Linked DNA regions of Schizosaccharomyces pombe. The gene in region 2 interacts genetically with the main gene of each other region. Each region holds a gene or a part of one and is shown on either strand. Other genes may lie near its edges.

The links.
Region 1: of hob1 (region 2) and pku80, a mutation in one rescues a mutant of the other (synthetic rescue), as found in Schizosaccharomyces pombe (one study listed by BioGRID).
Region 3: of hob1 (region 2) and hob3, changing one suppresses a phenotype caused by changing the other (phenotypic suppression), as found in Schizosaccharomyces pombe (one study listed by BioGRID).
Region 4: of hob1 (region 2) and rhp6, a mutation in one rescues a mutant of the other (synthetic rescue), as found in Schizosaccharomyces pombe (one study listed by BioGRID).

What each region holds. Positions count from the first base shown.
Region 1 is NC_003423.3:4,302,514-4,307,199, reverse strand, and holds pku80 (Ku domain protein Pku80 ), read left to right. Parts: upstream 1-1,797; 5' UTR 1,798-1,832; coding exon 1,833-1,961; intron 1,962-2,005; coding exon 2,006-2,060; intron 2,061-2,115; coding exon 2,116-2,182; intron 2,183-2,222; coding exon 2,223-4,059; 3' UTR 4,060-4,177; downstream 4,178-4,686. Other genes in the region: Npr2/3 complex subunit Npr3, read right to left, coding at 1-42, 108-1,171; SPOM_SPBC543.02C (TPR domain protein, DNAJC7 family), read left to right, coding at 4,585-4,686. UniProt on the Schizosaccharomyces pombe protein: Single-stranded DNA-dependent ATP-dependent helicase. Involved in non-homologous end joining (NHEJ) DNA double strand break repair. DNA-binding is sequence-independent but has a high affinity to nicks in double-stranded DNA and to the ends of duplex DNA.
Region 2 is NC_003423.3:2,419,725-2,424,207, reverse strand, and holds hob1 (BAR adaptor protein Hob1), read left to right. Parts: upstream 1-1,931; 5' UTR 1,932-1,949; coding exon 1,950-3,281; intron 3,282-3,349; coding exon 3,350-3,418; 3' UTR 3,419-3,945; downstream 3,946-4,483. Other genes in the region: cysteine desulfurase Nfs1, read right to left, coding at 1-1,448; SAGA complex subunit Sgf29, read left to right, coding at 4,227-4,483. UniProt on the Schizosaccharomyces pombe protein: Has a role in DNA damage signaling as a part of stress response processes.
Region 3 is NC_003423.3:1,221,226-1,225,061, reverse strand, and holds hob3 (BAR adaptor protein Hob3), read left to right. Parts: upstream 1-1,856; 5' UTR 1,857-1,865; coding exon 1,866-1,913; exon of another isoform or gene 1,914-1,955; coding exon 1,956-2,702; 3' UTR 2,703-3,318; downstream 3,319-3,836. Other genes in the region: tsp0 (tspO-like protein), read right to left, coding at 1-88; pir2 (C2H2-type zinc finger domain-containing protein), read right to left, coding at 3,547-3,836. UniProt on the Schizosaccharomyces pombe protein: Involved in cytokinesis and septation where it has a role in the localization of F-actin.
Region 4 is NC_003424.3:303,608-307,262, reverse strand, and holds rhp6 (ubiquitin-conjugating enzyme E2 2), read right to left. Parts: upstream 1,658-3,655; 5' UTR 1,541-1,657; coding exon 1,499-1,540; exon of another isoform or gene 1,452-1,498; coding exon 1,387-1,451; exon of another isoform or gene 1,207-1,386; intron 1,174-1,206; coding exon 1,053-1,173; intron 948-1,052; coding exon 844-947; intron 796-843; coding exon 672-795; 3' UTR 501-671; downstream 1-500. Other genes in the region: U3 snoRNP-associated protein Lcp5, read left to right, coding at 1-299; protein pat10, read right to left, coding at 2,234-2,263, 2,308-2,344, 2,403-2,492, 2,532-2,589, 2,728-2,800; SPOM_SPAC18B11.09C (serine O-acetyltransferase activity), read right to left, coding at 3,244-3,411, 3,470-3,547, 3,623-3,655.

The DNA.
Region 1 (4,686 bases), 1.9 Mb from region 2:
TCTGATACTGATATTCCTAGACGATTAGCGATATCTGTGAACCTGAAATATTGTAAGTTAGTATTTAATAGCAATAATAAATTTTGTTTAGACTTGACAAAACTTACGTTAAGTTAGGTTTTACTATGGCAATGAAAGAAGAAAGAAGAGAATTTTGTAAAAGAGGAACACGTTTCATTATAGTGTCTGTATCCTTTAAGAGCAACAAAGTCCAATAGGGGGCAACGAAAGGTTCAATAGAGGAAGGATGTTCTTCAGAGAAGATGGTTTGAGATGCTAAAATAGTTGATGGTCTAACCTGCAGTTCGTAATTTTCAAGTGTGTTGGTGGAAACCGACATAGGCCAGAGTAAGCTTAAGTTAATCGATTGATTTATCTCTAAATAAGCCGTATGCATGTTAATTAAAGCCTCATATGTAGTAGCAAGAACCGAAGCAAGATTTGAGTGATGAGGGATTTGAGCGGCATACACATCGAATGGGACGTTTTGGCTTGAATATTTTTCAGTCAGTTTTAAGATGTGTATACACTCATTTTCAACATAATTCCGTTTTGCTTGTTCATATTTAAGTCCAGTAACTAACTTGACTACTATATGATCATACATCGTGTTTACAGTAGGGCGATATACGGTAGCTGTAGGCACATTTAATACAAAGACGACATGAAATAAAGACATTGAAGATCTCGATTTTGATGAAGATGATTTTACTTCAAAACTTCCTGTCGAAGGGTGTGAAGATTCGGGCTTTGATACCAAATGGCTCGAAGAAGCATTAGACTCAACAGTAGTTCGTGGTTTCCTTCGTTTAGCCCACTCACCGTTCGGACCAATATGAACAGGACATCCCAAAAAAGTAAGACCATCCACCCAAATTTCAAATTTTTGATTGCAAAGTTCAATACGAGGACTTAGCATATTTGCGAGAAAGCCTTTTTCATAACCAAGTACATGTGTATCGTCAGCTACTTCAGTAAACCTATTATTCTCATCATCATCGCTGTCATCAAGGTCGAGCATCCCGATTGCAGACTCCGCTGAATCATTATTATGATGAGTGGCTTGTAGACGTACTTGAGGTTGTAGCGGCCAGTGAAAGACGAAATTAGCTCCTGATGTTGTTTTTTCAACAAGGAAAATGGCTACTAATCGAGGAGTTAAGCGTACCATTTTGGCGTTTTAAAACAAAGTATAAATGTGTATGTTCGATAATTGAAGTACATATGTGTGTTTTTTAATATATTTTTCACAACAGAAAACCAAATATCACCTTAAACATTATACCTCAAGGGGGTGGTATCGTTTTCTGGTAATTTGCGTGTAGTACGAAAGATTTGTGAGCGATATGCATCTGGCAGCTCGGTGTTTTAATCGCCTAGTACAAAACTAATAAGATCTAACATGAATAGTTAAACTGAATGTTAACTAATTATTGACATCTTGAGATATGAGTTCACGGCTTTGTAAATTAATGTGTGAATTGAAAGTAAAAGCATCGCTATGCAAAATTTCTAATGTGCGTAAAACCTTAGCAACTTTAATAGCTCCAATTCAATTCTCAAGAGTTTCTGATTTAAGTTATAAAAATGAATTGACTAATTTATATACAATGTTTTGGGTTATTTACATTTCAGTCACATGTGCATTTGCACATATGCTGCTGGACTTACTGTTAATGTAGTATATTCATACCGCGAAGAAAATACCTGAATCATTTAAAATGACCGTGTAATTGATATCTAACTGTTGAAAGCATCGGAGGCCCCAATGTTCTACAACAAATCTCACCTTGCTTTGACCTCCACCAAATCTGTATTCCTTAACAATTCGTATGAGTGATAAGGAATGTACTGTTTTTGTACTTGACTTGGGCAAAGATATGGGGACCTGTCACCATGGCAGGTCTCATTCTGATCTCGAATGGACTTTGTCGTATTTTCACGACGAATTGTCTCATAAGGTATTTTGCTCAACATTATCGACACCCTATTGACACATACTCAGTTTTTAGCAAATAGGAAGACAGACGTAGTTGGAATCGTTGGTTACAAATGCGATGGTATTCTATTGTAATGTTTTAAAGGTACACTACTTCTAACTTTTACGGTGTTTAGATACGAAAAATGATTTAGCTGAGCAGGAAGCCTATTGGAATATCAGTGTTTTGTATCCTATACAAACGTAAGCTTTCTCTTAAATGCTCCATTAACTTCTTAACTAGTGCCTTATTTTCAAAGCTACAATCCGTTTCTCAAACGTTAAAACCAAGCAATACTATGCAAGGCGATCTGATATCTGCAATAGTTGTGTCCTTTGATTTGATGGCTCGGCATTGTAAAAAGAACAAATGGAAGAAGAAGATGATAGTGCTTACGGCAGCTAGGGGGATTATCGACTTTAGTGATTACATTGGAATTGCCGAACAACTACTGCAGCATGATGTTTTTCTAGGTGTTTATGGAGTTGATTTTGATCAAGAAGATATTAATTATTCTGAGCCTTTAAAGGAATCTCAGAAAAAGGAAAACGAAGTTCGAATTCAAGAGTTTGTTGAGAGTTGTCATGGTCAGTACTGCACATTTCAACAGATTTATAACAACATCGGTAAACCTTGGGTTCGTAAAGTGAGACCTGTCGCAATCTTTAGAGGTACATTTAGTATTGGTAATAGAGACAGCAAAGATACGTCTATAAGCATACAGGTTGAAAGATATCCTAGAACTCGTTTAACTAAACCGCCAACATCATCTGCTTTTTATGAAAACGATATGTCTAAAAATTATGAATGTCTTAATATCGAAAATTCAAATGTGGAAAACAAAAGTATGGAATCTGATGCAGTGTCTACTGTTCGATCGTACATGGTTCGTGATCCAAAAACAAACGATTCTTTTGAGGTTAAAAGAGAAGACTTGGAAAGCGGTTATAGTTATGGTAGGACAATCGTCCCGATCAGCCGATCAGATGAAGACGTATTGGCTTTAGATACAATACCCGGTTATGAAATCCTTGGATTTATTCCTAAATCTAGTCTTCCAATTTATTATACCATTAGTGATACTAATATAATCGTTCCAAAAGATGACTTCGAAAGCAAATTAAATTTTTCTGCCTTTGTTCAATCCCTTGAACGTGAACACCGATATGCGCTCGCAAGGTTTGTTTCTAAAGATAAGGGCGTACCAGTTTTGCTGGTCTTGATGCCTTACGTGGAGTTTAAAAGACATTACTTGGTTGATATACAACTTCCATTCGCTGAAGATGTTCGGCCTTATTCTTTCTCAGAGTTCGAGAAACTGTCAAATGAAGAGGATATGCGACAAATTGATTTTGCCGTAAGTAATTATATCGATAATATGGATTTAGATTCCTCTGATTGTGGGTTCAATCCTCCTTTTGAGCCCGAAAATACCTTTAGTATGATACCACATAGACTTCAACAAGCTATCAGTTATTATGCAAATTCACCAGAAGGCGATCTTCCTCAACCAAATATTTACTTAACACGTTACACCAATCCTCCAAAAAGTTTACTTGATAATTGCATTTTGGACTTGAAGTTGATTAAGGAAAAACTTACAGTGAACGTCCCCGTCAAACCAAAATATTCTTCTCAAGAAACAGCCTTCGACACAGGCGCCCCAATATCAGAGGAACAAATAGAAGAACTACTAAATTCTGGTCTCGATGAACAGGAAGGAGAAAAATTATTAGTCCTTCACGTTAGTGAAAAAGACCCAGTAGGCACTTTCACTGAAGTTTTGAAAAACCCTTTTGGACTAGAGGATGCTTTGACAGAAATGGAAAAAGTAATTAAAAATCTTATTGACAAGTCTAAGTACGATCTTGCTTTGCAGTCATTGCAATCTCTCAGGTTACACTCAATTTTGGAAGACGAAGTTGAAAGATTTAATGAGTATCTTACTCGATTGAAAAAGGACGTAATGCAAAATAACAAACCCAAGGAGAATGAGCTTATTAACAAAATAAGATCATCTGGATTAGATATTATTCTCCATGATGAATTGACTAGACATGATAATTTTAATAACATTTAGCATAGGACAACAATGACTTGTCTTACTCGAACATAAATAAATAAATTTTATTAAATACTTGCAATATTTTTTTTACTTTTATCCAAATTTCTAATAAAAATTTTTAAGTCATGAATCCGCTATTTATTAGCATATAGAATACACGGTCGCAAAAATAGAAAATAGTTTTAACTTAAGTAGTTTAGGTAAACATACCTATGATATTTCAGAAAACACAACTATCGTTTAAAAACTTGGTGAGAGTTCCTTGCATTTTTTTATTTATATTCTATCTTTCACAATTACATTATTCAAAGAACATTTTAGACTTACTTTCACGAATTGGACAAATATCGGGGACATGCTTAAGGAGCTACAGCAGTGTTCCTTATTAGTGATACTAAAATTTAATAGTTTGGTCGTATCTATTTACCTACCACTGACTTTTTGATCTGTTACGCTTCGGCGATTGGAAAGCGTTCCTGAACTTTCTGTCATTTTAAATAAAATTTAAATTTTTTAAATATTTAAATTAATTCGATCAAAATGACTGAAGTCGAAACCACACACATGAATGCAGGTACAGAGAGCCAACAAGAGCCTGCTGAGCTAGCTGAAAAGCAAAAGGCTATAGGAAACGCTTTCTAT
Region 2 (4,483 bases):
AACGGGCTCATATTCCTTAAGAAAGAAACTTGTCTACTCACATTTTCAATAGCATAATCAATTTCGGCTTCAGTTGTAAATCGGCCAATACCAAAACGAATAGAACTGTGAGCATTTTCATCACTCTGACCAATTGCACGCAAAACGTAAGACGGTTCTAGAGATGCGGATGTGCAGGCAGAACCAGAAGACAGCGCGATATTTTTCAAACCCATAAGCAACGATTCCCCTTCTACATAATTGAAAGAAATGTTGACACAACCTGGATATCTAGATTTAGGGTCGCCATTCAAAGATGTATATGGGATTGCAAGAAGGCCATCTATTAATCTTTGGGATAGTTTGGAAATATGTGCATAATCATACTTCATTTCTTCTTTGCATATACGGGCCGCAGTACCAAATCCCACTACTTGAGATGGAGCAAGAGTACCACTTCGTAAACCTCGTTCCTGACCTCCACCACTAATAAGCGGCTCTAAACGTACACGAGGACGTCTTCTAACATAAGCGGCTCCAATTCCTTTAGGGCCGTAAATTTTGTGAGCAGAAATAGACATTAAATCAATGTTCATTCGATTGACGTCAATGTCAATTTTTCCATATCCTTGAGCAGCATCTGAGTGAAAGAAAACCTTCTTCTGTCGACAAATTTTGCCAATCTCTTCTAGTGGTTGACAAACACCAATTTCATTATTGACGGCCATTACACTTACACAAACAGTATCAGGACGTATGGCGTCACGTAATTCATCCAAATTAATAAGGCCATTAGTTTGAACAGGTAGAAAAGTAACTTCAAACCCTTCTTCTTGGAGAGCACGTAAGGAATCCAAAACGCATTTGTGCTCAGTTTGAACGGAAACAAGATGCTTTTTCCTACTTTTGTAAAATCGGGCAACACCTTTCAAAATAGCATTATTTGATTCAGTTGCGCCAGATGTAAAAATAATTTCTCTTGGATCAGCATTGATTACAGATGCTATCTCTTGGCGTGCATTTTCAACAGCTTTTTCTGCTTCCCAGCCATAGGCGTGTGTTCGACTATGTGGGTTTCCATAAATTCCAGTGAAGAAGGGAAGCATACTATCTAGTACACGATAGTCGAGAGGAGAGGTAGCTTGAAAATCCATATATATAGGATGCAATCCCGTAACCGTACTAGCAGCGGTTTGTGCTTGATCCAAAGTTACTGTTTTCAAAGAATTTTCCGGTATGGGCTCTTGAACCGCCGTCATGTTTCCTAGCCCGTACATTTGTTCACGAGGTTTATTGCTCATTGAAGGTTTGTCCATACGACTGGAAGTCATAAACGACCTACCGTAAACTCCAAGACTCTGTCTAACATTATTAATATCCTGACTCTCTCGCTTGACAAAAAATAAAGCACTTCGTAGTTCAAGAAGGCATCTTGCTCTAGAAAGCATCAAACTTCCCATTTTGGACATGGTTGTTTCCAAAATAGAGGAAATTTTGCTAATTCTTTATTTATTTCCTAAACAACAAGAAACAAGTCCTTTTTAAAATAATTTGGCAGTTGCTAAGTTCAAATTTTGCGATCTGACTAATAAAAATTTTGGTTGGCGGCGTATCTGAAACCAACCAAAACTAAGCTTCGACCCAATACATGTAGAGCTGCGCAATTATCAGTATGTTATCATTGCATCGTAAACGACGGAGACACTGTTCAATCGAATAAAAACTGTAATAAAGAGCATAGAGACGAGCAAATTAAAATCAAATGTTTGCCTTATATTTACTATGTTTTCACCTCATCTAGATAAAAATAAAAATAAAAATAACGAGACGTTGCGTAGTATACTGTATTTGCGATTCGGCACAATTACAGGAAACGATCAGCATTGCTGCGAAGTATGCTACGTGAATACGGAGAAGGATGGTTAAGGGAATTTGAAAGGGTCAGACATACCAACTACCAGAATTACTTGATGAGCTGGAAAGGGTTTACAAAGGCACTTGCGCGTACGCCGCAGACTCTACGCAGCAAGTTTAATGTTGGAGAGATTACCAAAGATCCTATTTATGAGGATGCTGGAAGACGGTTTAAGTCTTTAGAAACGGAAGCGAAAAAGCTGGCTGAAGACGCCAAAAAGTATACTGATGCTATTAATGGGTTATTGAATCATCAAATTGGATTTGCCGATGCTTGTATTGAAATTTACAAGCCTATTAGTGGGCGTGCTTCGGATCCTGAATCGTATGAGCAAGAAGGCAATGCGGAAGGTATTGAGGCTGCCGAGGCTTACAAGGAAATTGTATACGATCTCCAAAAGAATTTGGCTTCTGAAATGGATGTTATCAACACTCGCATTGTCAATCCAACTGGTGAACTGCTCAAGATTGTTAAGGATGTAGATAAGCTTTTGTTGAAACGCGATCATAAGCAGCTGGATTATGATCGTCATCGTTCATCTTTCAAGAAACTTCAGGAAAAGAAGGATAAAAGCCTTAAAGATGAGAAGAAGCTTTATGAAGCTGAAACCGCCTTTGAACAATCTTCCCAAGAATATGAATATTATAATGAAATGCTGAAGGAGGAGTTACCTAAACTATTTGCATTGGCTCAGAGCTTCATTGCTCCCTTATTCCAAGGATTTTACTATATGCAATTAAATGTCTATTACGTTCTTTATGAAAAGATGAGTCACTGCGAAATTCAGTACTTTGATTTCAATACCGATATTTTGGAATCGTACGAAAGAAGACGCGGCGATGTTAAAGATCGCGCAGAGGCTTTGACGATTACTAAATTTAAGACCGCTAAACCGACGTATAAACGACCGGGTATGGGACCGGGTGGTAAAGATGCAACTGCTTCTTCTTCTTCTTCCTTTTCGTCAAAGCGTGAAGAAGCAGCAGCCGAACCCTCCTCTTCGACAGCTACGGATATTCCACCCCCATACTCAACGCCATCGGTTGCCGGAGCTTCCGATTATTCTACCCCAAGTGCAGGTTATCAAACTGTTCAGACGACCACTACTACAACTGAAGCAGCAGCTGCTCAATACCCTCAAGCGGCCTTTCCTCCCCCTCCAGTTATGCCTCAACCTGCTGCTGCGGCAGTGACCACACCTGTTGCTGCACCGGTAGCAGCAGCTGCAGCCGCAGTTCCCGTACCTCCACCAGCGCCTGCACCTGCTGCGGCTCCCGCCGCAGAGCATGTTGTTGCTTTATATGATTATGCTGCCCAAGCAGCCGGAGATTTATCTTTTCATGCTGGCGATCGTATCGAAGTTGTTTCACGTACTGATAATCAAAATGTAAGTACTTAAACTTAAATTTTCATTTTTTTCTTATTAAACAAGGACTTTACTAATATATATTTTAGGAATGGTGGATTGGCCGACTTAACGGTGCACAAGGTCAATTTCCTGGTAATTATGTTCAGCTTGAATAAAGCGTTTTTAAATTTACCTAGATGTGTCTTAAAATCTCGCTGCCTACTGAAGTCAATATAGAAGCTTGATTATAGGACTTGTTGTTACAGGTTACTGTTTGTGTGCGCGCTTCAACAAGTTTTACACTGCTATTCAATTTCTATCAATTTTGTCGTTCTAACTATGATGCTTAAATTTAGACATGTATTCCATACATCATCATCTCCAGTGATAATTTAACACTGTCTATGTTTGAATACTGGCTTTTTATCAACGTGTTTCCTTACTGACGTGTACTTCAAAGAGTAGCACATTTTTTGAAATGTTTTGAATAACGTAAACTTATATATATTAATTACGTTTAACTGTTTTTATTTTAATTTAACTAGTCTATCAACAAAGCTGTCCTTTCTTATATCTATACTTTAACAGTGCTAGCTAGGATTGAAGCAAAACATGATTCGAACTAGAGCTTTCATTGTGATATTGAATTTTTTGGGATTTGTAGTTTCAACAGTATAACAATCGGAATTGATGTATTCTAGCAGGAAATATACGACATACAGTATTTAGAGTCGTTGCTAAACGAGAATCGTTTAACGAACTTCGTTAACAGACAGTATTCCATGACTTAAGTGAATAGTTAACTACGTAACCTAATGCAGCAACGATACGGTAAATACAATATCGAGTGTTAATGAAATTTGTAATAAAGTAATTTGCATAGCTGATAGTATCATGCAAATCAATCTAGTAAGTGAGTTAGCACCTACCAAAGGAAATTGGATGATGAAAAGTGTTGTTTGAGAATATCAGTTACAGGATATTATGGTACGCCCCATAAATGCTGAAGAGGATGTGACATCCATGTGGGTTAAATTTCATGAAAGCCTAAATCCCATTCGGTCTAGTTTAATAAAACAAGAAGAATGTTATAAAACGGTTGATGGCGACGATAATCCAATTGAAGAAAGAATTAAAGCGTGTGACGCGGGAATTCAAACCTCTGAAGAACAGAAAAAAGAATTGGAGCATACAATGCAATCTCTTGAGATGATTATTAATGTACTCGAAAAAGCCAATGA
Region 3 (3,836 bases), 1.2 Mb from region 2:
CAATGAACCAGCCGCAGGCGACTGGAACGAGAGAAGCGGACCACCAATTTTTGGAGATGCTAGTGAATACTTGATAGTTCAAATCCATCACACTTAATAATATCGTTTACTGTTGATTAGCGAAATCGGGAAAAAAAAATTCCACGAATGTAAAGAGTACTAACAACGACTGCTACTAAAAAACCATAAGTATTTCGAATCTTAATGCAGCTCGTTTACAAACAGCAGAGATAATGTCGAGATACAAAAGGTCTTTCAAACCATGCTAAGCAAATAGACATGGAGTAGCTAGAGTTAAGTTTGATAATTAAAACTGACATACATTAAACTAGAAATTTGGAGAAGAGTTGTTGAAACTTCTAATTGAATTGAAGATTAGTAAAATTGGACCATAAAGCTTAACCATCTTTCAATCTTCCATACATTTTAAAAACGGGCACAGTATCGATATGAGAGAAATACGATACTAAACTAAAATAAAAGGAAATACTTAATTGTAGTTTGATCTTGGAAGCTACTCGAATGTATAATTCACCATATTTATAACCTCGTCTATTACGTCACAGAAGGGAAGGAGGAGCGAGGTATTGGGGTATAATACGTGTTCATACTGCGTAAGGTGGTGGTAGATGTGTCTCGCTAAAAAGTGTTTATAAGGAGTTTTCCATAAGATAATATTTTCAGTACAACTAAATTTTTTATATTATTAATATTATATTATAAAATTATGTATATCTATTAGTAGCAGCGCTTGTTTTCTGTAATAGAATATATTTGGGCTGGTCAAATGCGGTTAATTATCATCACACAGATGAGATTTATGGGCAAATTTAGTTATAAAATTAGATAAGACAACAAAGAGAGAAGAAAGGTTTATTTCGGTGCTTTTGTTTCTTACTTTCAGAAGAATCTTTCTCTTGGGCATTATCTGGATGTCTTACTGCCCACAGAACAAACAAACTGTCATTGAATGGCTGAGTTCTTGTTTCAATATCTAATATCGCTATACAATAGCTCTCAAAGTAATGCACCACTACTACAACTTAAGTTCTTCACTTTTTGAGTAAGGATGCAAACTATGAGACCGGGTTTTTTTAGCTCAAATGTCGCTGAAAAGCGTTTTCTTTATAGTTTTATCATGAATGATCTCATATATTGATAAGTAGCAATCGTGTCTTTCCATGTCGAAGCCTCAAAACATTATATCCATATAATGCAAAACCATTTATTCCACCACTTCTAATGAAATTTATAAGTTGGTAAAATGTCCGTATTTCAAATTGCTTCTCCACAATATCTTCCATTTATGAGCAAACGATATTACCTCTATATTGTCAAGTTAAAATGTTTACATTGATATATTATATTAAACTATAACATAACTATATTACCTTATAAGGCGATTTCTGCTGGATGCAGTTAGTGAACAAGAATTATCTGAGGATAGACCTCTAATTGCAGTCAGAGATTTACTACAGATGATTATACAAGAAAAATTTAGATATATTTTTTAAGCGATGTAATTTATTGATAGTGACATGAAAGTAAGCCAACCCTCGAAACCCAAATTTACCACCATTATGCTCTTGCTCTATCAATTAAACACAAAATTAACGACACGCTTTTCATCCTTATCTTTTTATAATTGCATTGTGAAATAAACTATCATTATTCTATTTAACGCAATGATAAACTTCGCAATCAGGCTTTACGTTATGGCTTTGCTTCCGTGAATTGTTCCCTACGCGAATCCTGCTGAATCCACTAAAAGATCCAATGCAGCTTAGCTAGCGAACATTAGCGCAGCGATCAACTGACATAAGATATCTGGGTATGCCGACGCTTCTCTTTTCCATATCACAAAAATGAGTTGGCATGGATTCAAAAAGGCCGTTAACCGAGCGGGTACCTCGGTATGTATTTGAGTGTTGAAGAATTGTCTAACATTGTGGTAGGTTATGATGAAGACGGGTCATGTTGAGCGAACGGTGGATCGGGAATTTGAAACAGAGGAAAGACGTTATAGAACTATGGAATCAGCTGCAAAGAAGCTTCAAAAAGAAGCCAAAGGTTATCTCGATGCTTTGAGAGCCATGACTGCGTCTCAAACTAGAATCGCTAACACAATCGATGCATTTTACGGTGATGCTGGATCGAAGGATGGTGTCAGTGCATACTATCGACAAGTCGTCGAAGACTTGGACGCCGATACCGTAAAAGAGTTGGACGGTCCTTTCCGGACAACGGTGTTGGATCCCATCTCAAGGTTCTGCAGTTACTTTCCCGATATTAATGCCGCTATCACGAAGCGTAATCACAAATTACTTGATCATGATGCTATGAGGGCTAAGGTTCAAAAACTGGTCGACAAGCCTTCCAACGACACTACTAAGCTTCCCCGTACCGAGAAAGAAGCAGCCATGGCGAAGGAGGTCTACGAGACACTCAATAATCAACTGGTCAGTGAGCTTCCGCAACTAATTGCTCTTCGTGTGCCTTATTTGGACCCTAGCTTTGAAGCCCTTGTCAAAATTCAGCTCCGCTTTTGTAGGGAGGGATATGAGAAAATGGCTCAAGTTCAGCAATACTTTGACAACTCTGTACGCGAAGACTATTCCAATGGTTTGTTGGATGATAAAGTTGAACAAGTTTTACAGAGTATGCGGGATCTTTCCATCGCCGGTTTGAACAACAGTCAGTAGACATCGGTTTTTTAAACACGATTGTATGTGTGCATAGCGCTATCACTCTGTTTTCTCTTTCCTTTTCTCCTCCGAAATAATTGTTACTACACGTAACCATGATCTCTTATCCCTCAATACTTTTTGTTTAACATATCCTTTCTCTTTTACTACTTTATTACCATCTTATCTTGTTTATCTGAAGTGGTTCACGGAATGTTTTCAATTTATTCAATTTTTTGTGATACATAAATATTTTCCATACTTATCTATCCTCGAGTATTTTCTATTGGTGTTACTGGAATTGAAGGGAAAGCCAGCACATATTTATTAAAGACTCAACTGTGAAGCTTCTACATCCTTTCAGTTTCGTAACGTTTCCTTTATAATTTTTTAATTGGGAATAGTTATCAAATTATCAGATAAACAAATTGGTTTTCCAATATTGTCTGTCGACCCAGCGATTCATCTACTAAACTGTGCTTATTTTCTATCTCGTACCAAGTTTTGTTCTAATAAATAACTATTGTTAAGTAAGTTTAGACCAAATCTTAAAATATAATAATTAGAAAAAAAAATGCTTTTGTTGACTTACGAATTATTAATTTGAATTGTAATTTATTAATTTTCCAAACAATAGCTATCTTGTAAGCTGTAAGTCAAGTTGGAAGTGGGTTTATTTCTATCTGTGCAGCGTTCGATGTTTGATTTTCGAACATGGACTTAAGCGTTCAATTTTACAATAGCTGTGAATGTAGATTATCGCTACTTTAAAATCTAAAATATAGTATGGAGCTACAACTGCTAGTAACGTCTATACAGGAAATGATATTAACCAAAAATCTTTCTGACTAAGAACATAAATTTAGTAATCTAATTCTGGAACCTCCTGGTTAGGCGCATCCAAATCTTGATAAGTTCTATAGAATTCCCGTCTGTGGATCATGGGTTCTTGCCTCGAATAAGATTTTTGTGATGATGCTCCAGAAGTTATCTCCTCGTCATTTCGTCGACTATAGCTTGTTGTTGGAAATGTATAGTTTGCGTTAATATTTCTGAAACCAACGTAGGGCTTGTTTAAAATCTGTAAGGATACATACGACGTGCTTACCACTTTGGGATCCATAGCCCTACATGGGTCAAGCACATATCCAT
Region 4 (3,655 bases), on a different chromosome or scaffold from region 2:
TGCAAAAAATGCGTGAGAGGATAGAGTATGAGGAAAGTAATTATACTCGCCTTCCTAAATTATCGAAGAAAGATTTAAAGAAATCTAAACGTGTAAAGAAACACGATTATGGTGGTGAAGACTGGTCATTGCTTGATCGCAAATTCCATGACGATGACTTTTCAAATCGTAAATTAGACCTGACTTCTAGAGCTAAGAGACGTGCTAATTTTGAAGACGTTAACGATGGCTCATTAGCTTCACCTGTTCAAATTGGCCAGTCATATCGTAAAAGAAAGAAGAATTTGAAACGTCGTTAATCATTATTTTGGGAACAGCCGTTGAGGTTTACTTAAAAAAATTGACCATATGTATTTAAAAAAATGGAGTTTTTGCGCTTGGTTTGGTATTTTTGTGTGGTTTAGGGCAGGTTATGTTTAATAAGATCAATATAAATTTTGCATGTACATGTCTGTATATGTGATTAGTCGCACATTAATATAGTTTACAAGTTCTAAACATAAGGAAGAAATCATTCATTCGTAGATGTAAACAAAAAAATCTTAATGATTTACTATAGTTACAATTTTGGCAACTTTGAAGCACTTAAATAGATTTAATGTGAAAGGCGGTTGAAAAAGAAGAGTAAGTTCTAATGAAATAGGGATTATTAAGACAGCTATGTCTTGAAATCAACTTTCCCAGGAGTCTTCTACAGTTTTTCGTACTCGACGCACATACTCCTTCTTGTTTTCACGATGCAGCTGAGCAGCTTCGGCATTTGCAGGGGACGCATTATTTGGATCATTAAGTAAGCTAAAAGTTAGTTATGAGAAATTTAAGTAATATTTCTGAAAAGCAAACCTTTGAATAGAGGTAAGAATTGCTGCCACATCGTAAGTTGGAGACCACCTGTTTTGCAGAATGTCCAAGCAAAGTTCGCCATTTGCGTACACATTTGGATGGAACTAAAGCCAATAAGTAAGTAAACAAAAAAAACCAAGAAAAAAGTAAATTACAACAAATCAAATAATCTAATTTAAGACTTGTCTAAATACAATGACTAAGCATACCATTGTGGAGACGAATTTTACAAGAGGAGGTTTATTAGGATATTGTTCATCAAAAGAAAGAACCAACTTAAAAGTTCCATCTTCAAATGGAGTGTCTGCTGGGCCAATGATAACAGCATTCCTGCTCAAATGGTTAGTCCAACATCAATAATAAAAAACAAAAGCAATCAATCCAGAAACCAACAAGCATAAAAAGATCGCTTCTTGTAAGAATTTTGAAACGATCTCCTTCCTAAATATATGGCAAAAAAGGCATTCAATATATAGCACATATATTCACCATTACGTTGCATAACAATAAGAGAAAAATGAATTGACATAGGTAAACACTTACCAAAGCATTACATTGTCAGAGACAGGGGAAGCTGAAACTCCAGCAGGAGGATCTTGCTGCATCCTCTAAGAATTGGTTAATATAAGTCTTCTCGGATCCACAACTGCCGTACCTTAAAATCTCGCATGAGACGTCTTCTTGCGGTCGTTGACATTTTTATAGCAACCTCTCTTCTATTTGTGATAACTTTAAAAAAAAGTTGCACAAATATCGATATCGCCTTGGAATTACACCGAGTTAGGATATCCGATTTGCGTTGTTGGAGAAGGGCAGGGAACAATAGTAGGACCATTCACTCATATGCAGTATTTCATTATTAATGGGGCGCACCCAACACGTTAAAATAATAAAGTGCACGCTCAGTTACCTTATAACTAGACCAACCTTTTAGTAATGTTCAGCATTTGCAATGCAAGTCTGCTTTAGTATTAATGAACTACTACTTCATTTAAATTATAGTTAAAGATAAGGAAAGTTGATATTTTTCATTCAACCATTAATCATAATCAAGGTCCGTGCATTTGTTAACGGTAAACTGTTGAACATGTGAAAATTATATATATTTACTTTAAGCCTTTGTTCTCATTGGGTTTAAAAAAGCAACTAAAATACATTAGGAAGAAAAAATGAAAGAGCAACAGGATGTAAGAAATAAATTTACATTTTCACTAGCTTAACAATGAGAAAACACAAACAGCCAATTTTTTACGCGTCTGCTACGTGATTGAAATGGTAGTTAGAAATGTATCTGAACTCTTCACCATTAGATATTTACATTGTGCATAAATTTAATTATCCAGAAAAAAATCAGCTTAATACTCTTATTAATTCACTGACTTAAAAATTACTAAGTTTTGTTTGGAGTATTTAAAAATTGCTGCACAAGTTAATCGACAAAGTAAATATAAAAATTCAACTTACCGGTAAATATGTTGACACAAGAGCCGCGATACCCATACTGATCAAATGTTAACATCCATAGAACTACATTAATGCAATGAATTAGGATTACTTACAAAGCCATTGAAGTCGGAGATGAGCTGGGAGACGTATTTGCGTTCAGTAAATTTGAAAAGGTTAGGATAAAAGCAACCCATGCAATTAATCTTCTCGTTAACATGAAAATCCTAAAATATCTTACATACTTGAAACGAAGAAATAAAGCAGCCATACACGTGGCTGTGCTTACCAAACTCAAGCCAACTATAATAGGGTTAGCAAACTTAATAAATTATTTGACGAAAGAAAGGATTTAAAATATTCCACAATGAACTAAAGCTTGAGCGATTAAATCAGCGTAACTCACGATTGGGTTCAATTTGAAAGTGCTTTCTACTTTACCTTCTTCATTTGCTTTGACTCTAGCTTTGTAGGGAACGATTAAATCAGGTCGTTTAAGTTCTGCAGGCGCCATATTTTATGAATTTTCGTTGTCGAGACTTCAGAACTGGTGAATGGGATGGTTCCTCTACAAGAATATAATGAAGTTAGTAATAAAATGTGTAAAATGGTTTTAGGTTAGGTTATTTAGCATTCAAATATATCGTGGGGGTTAAGAGTTCTTATCCCACTAAGAATTTCAACTATTTTAGACTTGGCTAAGCATTAGAATTAAAATCGATTGCAGTACCACGTGGGGGCTTTAGCAAGTCATAGGAGGAAACTGATCCTACTTGGCGAGTGAGAAATGGATTTCTTTTAGCATTCTAAGTCTTCTATATAACAATTTAAAGCTCAAACATAATATAATATTATTTATACTATTTTAAAAATTTAGGAACCAAGCCAGGTGAACTTAAGAAGTTCAAAGAGCATTTAATCGTTAGATGAAATAATAAAAAAAAAAATTACACTCGTTCACTCGTTTTCAATTTTACGAATAGGTTTGGCAGGTGATCCTACAGCCAACGTATTAGGTGGGATGTCTTTTGTAACAACAGCACCCGCTCCAATTACACTGCCTTCCCCGATAGTAACACCTGGGAGAACTATAACTCCCATACCAATCCAAACATTGTCCTGAATCTTGATAAAATTTTGTTTGTTAGTTGTAAGATGTTTCAATAACTGGACTAACGCATACGTTAATTGGTAAACCAAATTCAATTCCGGAGTTCCTTGCTTTAAAATCCAAGGGATGTGTTGCTGTACATAGTTGAACCTGGAAAGACACCATTAGTATATTTATTTTTTGAATGAATGACTTGAAAGTAACTATATATATATATAAACATACATTGGGGCCTAGCATTACATTATTACCAATAGT